Linked DNA regions of Macaca mulatta. The protein of the gene in region 1 purifies or fractionates together with the protein of each later gene. This does not show direct contact. Links are inferred from orthologs where the notes say so. Each region holds a gene or a part of one and is shown in the gene's direction. Other genes may lie near its edges. The genes, in order: MAP2 and PRKACA.

What was found.
Region 2: the proteins of MAP2 (region 1) and PRKACA purify together in Homo sapiens (affinity purification with mass spectrometry; 3 studies listed by BioGRID and IntAct, with this or other methods). This does not show direct contact. The link is inferred for Macaca mulatta from reciprocal best matches to the Homo sapiens genes MAP2 and PRKACA.

What each region holds. Positions count from the first base shown.
Region 1 is NC_133417.1:114,859,988-114,863,805, forward strand, and holds part of MAP2 (microtubule-associated protein 2), read left to right. Parts: coding exon 1-1,391; intron 1,392-1,613; coding exon 1,614-1,820; intron 1,821-1,991; coding exon 1,992-2,126; intron 2,127-3,818. UniProt on the Homo sapiens protein: The exact function of MAP2 is unknown but MAPs may stabilize the microtubules against depolymerization. They also seem to have a stiffening effect on microtubules.
Region 2 is NC_133424.1:14,682,216-14,686,033, reverse strand, and holds part of PRKACA (cAMP-dependent protein kinase catalytic subunit alpha), read left to right. Parts: intron 1-968; coding exon 969-1,095; intron 1,096-1,184; coding exon 1,185-1,280; intron 1,281-1,372; coding exon 1,373-1,495; intron 1,496-3,818.

The sequences.
Region 1 (3,818 bases):
TGTTGACAAAGAAGCATCCGCGCATATCTCTGATGACAAATCAGGACTGAGTAAGGAGTTTGACCAAGAGAAGAAAGCTAATGATAGGTTGGATACTGTAATAGAAAAAAGTGAAGAACATACTGATTCAAAAGAACATGCCAAGAAAACTGAAGAGGCTGGTGATGAAGTAGAAACATTCGGATTAGGAGTAACCTATGAGCAAGCTTTGGCCAAAGATTTGTCAATACCAACAGATGCATCCTCTGAGAAAGCGGAGAAGGGTCTTAGTTCAGTGCCAGAGGTAGCTGAGGTAGAATCATCCAAAAAGGTGGAACAAGGTCTGGATTTTGCTGTCCAGGGTCAACTAGATGTTAAAATTAGTGACTTTGGACAGATGGCTTCAGGGCTAAACATAGATGATAGAAGGACAACAGAGCTAAAACTTGAGGCTACACAGGACATGACCCCCTCATCCAAAGCACCGCAGGAGGTAGATGCATTTATGGGTGTCGAGTCTGGCCACATGAAAGAAGGCATCAAAGTTAGTGAGACAGAAGTCAAAGAGAAGGTGGCCAAGCCTGACTTGGTGCACCAGGAGGCTGTAGACAAGGAGGAGTCCTATGAGTCTAGTGGTGAGCATGAAAGTCTTACCATGGAGTCCTTGAAAGCTGATGAGGGCAAGAAGGAAACATCTCCAGAATCATCTCTAATTCAAGATGAGATTGCTGTCAAACTGTCGGTGGAAATACCTTGCCCACCTGCTGTTTCAGAGGCTGATTTAGCCACAGATGAGAGAGCTGATGTCCAGATGGAATTTATTCAGGGGCCAAAAGAAGAAAGCAAAGAGACCCCAGATATATCCATCACGCCTTCTGATGTTGCAGAGCCATTGCATGAAGCAATCATATCTGAACCAGCAGAGATTCAGAGTGAGGAAGAAGAGATAGAAGCCCAGGGAGAATATGATAAACTGCTCTTCCGCTCAGACACCCTTCAGATTACTGACCTGGGTGTCTCAGGTGCCAGGGAGGAATTTGTGGAGACCTGCCCAGGTGAACACAAAGGAGTGATTGAGTCTGTTGTGACCATCGAGGATGATTTCATCACTGTAGTGCAAACCACAACTGATGAAGGGGAGTCAGGGTCCCACAGCGTGCGTTTTGCAGCACTAGAGCAGCCTGAGGTGGAAAGGAGACCATCTCCTCATGACGAAGAAGAGTTTGAAGTAGAAGAGGCAGCTGAAGCCCAGGCAGAACCCAAAGATGGTTCCCCAGAGGCTCCAGCTTCCCCTGAGAGAGAAGAGGTTGCATTTTCTGAATATAAGACAGAAACCTATGACGATTACAAAGACGAGACCACCATTGACGACTCCATCATGGATGCTGACAGCCTCTGGGTGGACACTCAAGGTGTGCATTATTATTATTTTTTTTAAATTTTCTACTCTCAACTCAAACACAATAACCTTATGGGATTTTTTTTTCACTTAAACATTTTAAAATACCTCTTTATCTCTTTGTTTTGCATTTTGTTAAATATACAAAGGATTTTGTACACTTGTTACTAATGTTTTCACTGTTGTTGTTGTTGTTGTTGTTGTTGTTGTTGTCATGATTTGCTTTGATCCACAGATGATGATAGGAGCATCATGACAGAACAGTTAGAAACTATTCCTAAAGAGGAGAAAGCTGAAAAGGAAGCTCGGAGATCATCTCTTGAGAAACATAGAAAAGAAAAGCCTTTTAAAACCGGGAGAGGCAGAATTTCCACTCCTGAAAGAAAAGTAGCTAAAAAGGAACCTAGCACAGTCTCCAGAGATGAAGTGAGAAGGAAAAAAGGTTCATTTAACAATCACTTCTTTAAAAATGTTTTTGAAGTAATTCATTATTACTTTTTTGCAGAAGAACTGCCTAACAGTGGTAACTAATTATTTATAAAATTTCGTTCGGTTTTGCTCCAAGTGTTTATTTTTTCCTGATGGTATGCTTTTTGTGTTTTCTTATTCATAGCAGTTTATAAGAAGGCTGAACTTGCTAAAAAAACAGAAGTTCAGGCCCACTCTCCCTCCAGGAAATTCATTTTAAAACCTGCTATCAAATATACTAGACCAACTCATCTCTCCTGTGTTAAGCGGAAAACCACAGGTGACTGTTCAATTCTGCAATGTGACTGGCAAACATAGACATGTATTTTTTTTTAAATCTCATTACTGTAGCAGCTTCTTCATTTTGTTTTTCTTCCAAGAATCTCAGCAGTTATGAAAAATTTGCTATTAAGTGTCTTGTATCATTATTCTTTTTTTCCCCCTCCTTACAGAAAAGGTCATGACCATCTGTTTCTTTGTCATGCTCAGACATAACAGTGCGTGATTGTATCTTGGCATTGTGCTCTAGTGTCACGTTCTGGGGATTCCTATTTTCATTCTGTGTGTTTGGTTAGACGATGGCGATGAATTTAACTGTGGTATGCATTCTCATTATTTTGCTTATTTATCCCTCTCATGCTTAAACCCATAAATATTTGTCCTATTTTCTACATTGTTACTGCCAAATCTGTTACTGATGTTGATGAATTTATTGAAAACCACCAAGAATGTGTAGTGATTTAGATACTGAAAATGAAAAGCAAGCCAGGAAGTGAAATTGTGGTTTACAAAATTACTATGACTTTGCTTTTGTTGGAAAAAAAAAAAAAAGAAAACAAAATTTTCTGGTAATTATATCAGATTTTATTCCTCATATCCAAAATTAACAAGGTTTTCACTCTACTAAACTACATCTCTTAGCTGACCTTGTGTCATGGAGATTTTCTTAAATATGTTGGATCCAAACTACTCAACTTTTCTATATAATTTAGTATTCAAAAATTTGAAGCGAAAACTCTTCCTTTTTGGAGGAACTTAAGTTAGAAATAAACTTCAGTTTATTTTTACTTTGCTACCTACTTTTTTTTTTTTTTTTTTTTTTTTTTTTTTTTTTGAGACAGAGTCTCGCTCTGTCACCCAATCTGGAGTGCAGTGGCGCGACCTCGGTTCACTGAAACCTCCGCCTCCTGGGTTCAAGCAGTTCTTCTGCCTCAACCTCCTGAGTCGCTGGGATTACAGGTGTGCACCCAGCTAATTTATATATGTATATATATTTTTAGTAGAGATGGGGTTTCACCATCTTGGCCAGGCTGGTCTTGAACTCCTGACCTCATGATCCACCTGTCTAGGCCTCCCAAAGTGCTGGGATTACAGGCGTGAGCCATCGCGCCCAGCCTGCTGTCTACTCACTTCTCTTCTTCAAATACATATTTTTTCCTAAGTTTATAAAACTGATAAAACAAAGAAATAAAACATGTTGGAAACCATCATAAAAACCCCTACAAATATCTGTAATGCCAACTTTTTTCTAAATTTCAGTGCAAAGTATTTATTTTATATGTTTAATTATACTAGGATAATCTTACAGTATATTTTATTTTAGAGTTTATTAAGTGGCATGCTTGTAGCCTACAAAATGACAGATCGCTAAATCAGAAAAGAATGTTTTTCTTTCCATTGTACATCATCAGTGCCTCTATATAAATCTTCGGATGGTTTTAAAGGTTAAAAGGAACATTAGCCTTTGTGAGAAAGAGAAAATCAAGGTAATTGATGGTTTTATTTTAGTTATTGAAAATTCCAAGTATTTTGTATTTGTGTTCTTCATCTAGAAATCATATCATGTGCTTTCCTTCAAAAACAAGAATCTAAGGCCGAATTGGAAAATGGAAGGCTTGTATATATGCAAACCTTGATAAAGCTTCAGGATGAAGAATATCTCTGAAGTTAGGAGTTAGAAATTAACATGACA
Region 2 (3,818 bases), on another chromosome or scaffold:
CAGAAAATTCCCTTGAATCCCTTTCTTCTTCTTTTTTTTTTTTTTTTTTTTTCAATAATATACAGAGGTGGAGGCCGGGTGCAGTGGCTCACGCCTGTAATCCCAGCACTTTGGGAGGCCAAGGCGGGCGGATCACAAGGTCAGCAGTTCGAGACCAGCCTGACCAACATGGTGAAACCCTGTCTCTACTAAAAATATAAAAATTAGCCAGGTGTGGTGGTGCATGCCTGTAATCCCAGCTACTCAGGAGGCTGAGGCAAGAGAATCACTTGTTTCCAGGAGGCGAAGGTTGCAGTGAGCCAAGATTATGCTACTGCACTCCAGCCTGGGCAACAGAGCAAGACTCCATCTCAAAAAAAATACTGAAAAAAAATATATATATATACACACACACACACATCTCTCCATACACACAGAGGTGAGATCTTGCCTGTGTTACCCAGGCTGGTCTCGAACTCCTGGGCTCAAGTGATCCTCCCACCTCGACCCTCCAAAATGCTGGGATTACAGGGATGAGACACCGCACCGGGCCAAATCCCTTTCTCGACACGTCACCTCCCCGCCAAAGGCAGTTGTCCTTTCTGACTTCAAACACCGTGCCTTTGTTTTGTCTGGGCGTGGACATGATATAAATGGAATCATTCATGTTCTTTTGTGTCTTCTTTTGCTTTAACATAATCAGTTTGAAATGCAGCCACGTTGTTGAGTGGATGCATGGGCTGTCCTGTTGGCAGTGGTGGTGGTGAGTGGAATTCCATTATATGACTATAGCTCAGTCTGTGATTCCATTCTCCTGTGGGTGGACCTACAGGCTATTTCCCGTGTCGGGCTATCTAAGAATCAGGTGCCTCGCATTTCTGACAGCTGGACTGGAGTTGTCTTCCTCTGGGGAAGGCTCTGCAGGGCCACCTGCTGGACCATTTTGGGGCATGGCCACTGACATTCACCTCTCCATCTGTCCCCATCAGCGAGCCCCATGCCCGTTTCTACGCGGCCCAGATCGTCCTGACCTTCGAGTATCTGCACTCGCTGGATCTCATCTACAGGGACCTGAAGCCGGAGAATCTGCTCATTGACCAGCAGGGATACATTCAGGTGCCCACCAGGCCGGGCGAGGGGCAGCCCTGGGGAAGCCGTGGCCTGGACCCTCCCTTCCTGCCAACTGCCTGTTCTTGTGCCCACAGGTGACAGACTTCGGTTTCGCCAAGCGCGTGAAGGGCCGCACTTGGACCTTGTGCGGCACCCCTGAGTATCTGGCCCCTGAGATTATCCTGAGCAAAGTAGGCGCCTCCCAGCCCTCCCCTTCCCCTGAGGCCGGCTCTGCTCTCCTGCTCGCCCCCTCCTCACCCTGTGCCCCCCCATCTTGCTCCAGGGCTACAACAAGGCTGTGGACTGGTGGGCCCTGGGGGTTCTTATCTATGAAATGGCCGCTGGCTACCCGCCCTTCTTCGCAGACCAGCCCATCCAGATCTATGAGAAGATCGTCTCTGGGAAGGTGAGGTCCGGCTGCGGGGACACAGCCCTGGAAGAAACAGACCCTCCCCTGCTCACTCATCCTACTCCCTGGGGAGCCCTGCTTGTTGTCAGAATAATCTAGAAGTTCCTTAAGTCAGGCCAGGTGGTGAAGCTGGACGCACCGGCAACACTGAGGCCAACACCTTGAGGCCCCCTCACTGTCCAGCCCCAACCCCGCGGTTCCAGAATCCCAAGAGCTTCCAAAACCCCAAGCCTCACAGAAACTTCTTGGCCGCAGAACACAAACCGCCCTGCCAGGCAACCCTCTTCGTCACTCCTTGTCCCAGTTAGTGTGAGTTTTCGCAAATTCCAAGGCAGAAAAACCAGTGTATTTGGTTCCTGTTCCCAGGTGCTGTCCGCAGCCTCACCAAGGAGTGCTCTCACTTAGCGTTTACAGCCCATGCTTCCTCTCCCAAACCCAGACTTGCCTAACTCTGAGGGTTCGGATGAGGGGTGCTGAAACCACCTCAGCTCACATCTGTGACAGGCGCAAAGTGCCTGCCATCCACCAGGCCCTAGAATCCCCCCATCAGTCACACCCTGAGATGGTGGCACCCTCTGCAGGAGAGGTGAGGAAACAGGCTGGGAAAAGGGATGTGTCTTGGCCAAGATCACACTTTGGTGAGTAGGTAATCATCGTAGGCACTAAGAGCAGGAGAGAGGTTGGGGACCCCACCTGTGCCCTCAGCTCAACCACCTTGCTGGGAAGACCCGACCATCCCCCGACTTGGTCCAGCATCTCCTACACAGGAGCTTTTGGTCGGCCCAGAGTCACGACACTGTGGTGGCAGCGTCCTCAGGCTCAGCCTGGGCCCCAGTCCGGACCCCAGTCCCAGCTCTGCCACTGATTGGCTTTGAAACTTTGCATTTGGGTGCAATGGCTCACGCCTGTAATCCCAGCACCTTGGGAAGTGGAGGCTTCAGGCCAGCAGTTCCAGACCAGCCTGGGTAACATAGCCAGACCCCATCTCTTAAAAAAAAAAAAAAAAAAAAAGCTAAAAATTAGCTGGGCGTGATGGTGCACCCCTGTATTCCCAGCTCATCAGGAAGCTGAGGCAGGAGGATCACTTGAGCCCAGAAGTTCAAGGCTGCAGTGAGCTGTGACTGTGCCACTGCAAACTAGCCTGGGTCACAGAGCCAGACACAGTCTTTTAAAAAAATTCAGGCAAGTGGGGTGCCCGGCTGGACACATAGCATCACTAAAAGGGAAAGATGAAGGCCTGGCACGATGGCTCATGCCTGTAATCCCAGCACTTCGGGAGGCTGAGGCAGGTGGATCACAAGGTCCGGAGTTCAAGACCAGCCTGGCCAACATAGTGAAACCCCATCTCTACTAAAAATACAAAAATTAGCTGGGCATGGTAGCAGGCACCTGTAATCCCAGCTACTTGGGAGGCTGAGGCCAAAGAATTGCTTCAACCCAGGAGACGGAGGTTGCAGTGAGCCAAGATCACGCCATTGCACTCCAGCCTGGGCGACAGAACAAGACTCCGTCTCAAAAAAAAGGAAAGATGAGGCATCTGCCATGGGTGGAATAGAAACTGCCAATAAAATGGCCCAGAGTAGGCCGGGCACGGTGGCTCACGCCTGTAATCCCAGCACTTTGGGAGGCCGAGGCGGGCGGATCACGAGGTCAGGAGTTTAAGACCAGCCTGACCAACATGCTGAAACCCTGTCTCTACTAAAAATACAAAAATTAGCCGGCTGTGGTGGCGTATGCCTGTAAATCCCAGCTACTCAGGAGGCAGAGGTTGCAGTGAGCTGAGATTGCGCCACTGCACTCTAGCCTGGGCAACAGAGCAAGACTCCATCTCAGAAAAAAAAAAAAAGAAAGAAAAAAAAGAAAATGGTCCAGAGTGGAAAAAAAGAAAGAAAGAAAAAAAATCACAGAAGATCCCATAGGAGAAGATGCACATGACTCCCTTCTTTGTAGCATTTTCTAGTTCCCCCACACCCTCAGTGGTGTTATCTCCCTCGTGCAGCCCTGGGATATCTGCCCCACATCTGAGAGGCATGCACAGGCCCAGAGAGGTTAAGGGCCATGGCCAAGGTCACAAAGCGTGTAAGAGGCACAGCAGGAACAAGAAGTCGTTTCTTGCAACTATTAACTCCAGTGATGACTTGCATACAAGGCTATGGGCTCAGAGTGTATGGGGAAAACTTTCAAGAAGAGTCGAGCTGCACTTTAAAGAATGGAAGAGCCTTAGCTATGCAGAAAGAGAGGAGAGAAAAAGTTTGTCATAAGCATGAATATTTCAGAAGTCTCTGAACCCCAGCAGAGATGCCTTCAGCAGCAGCGGCAG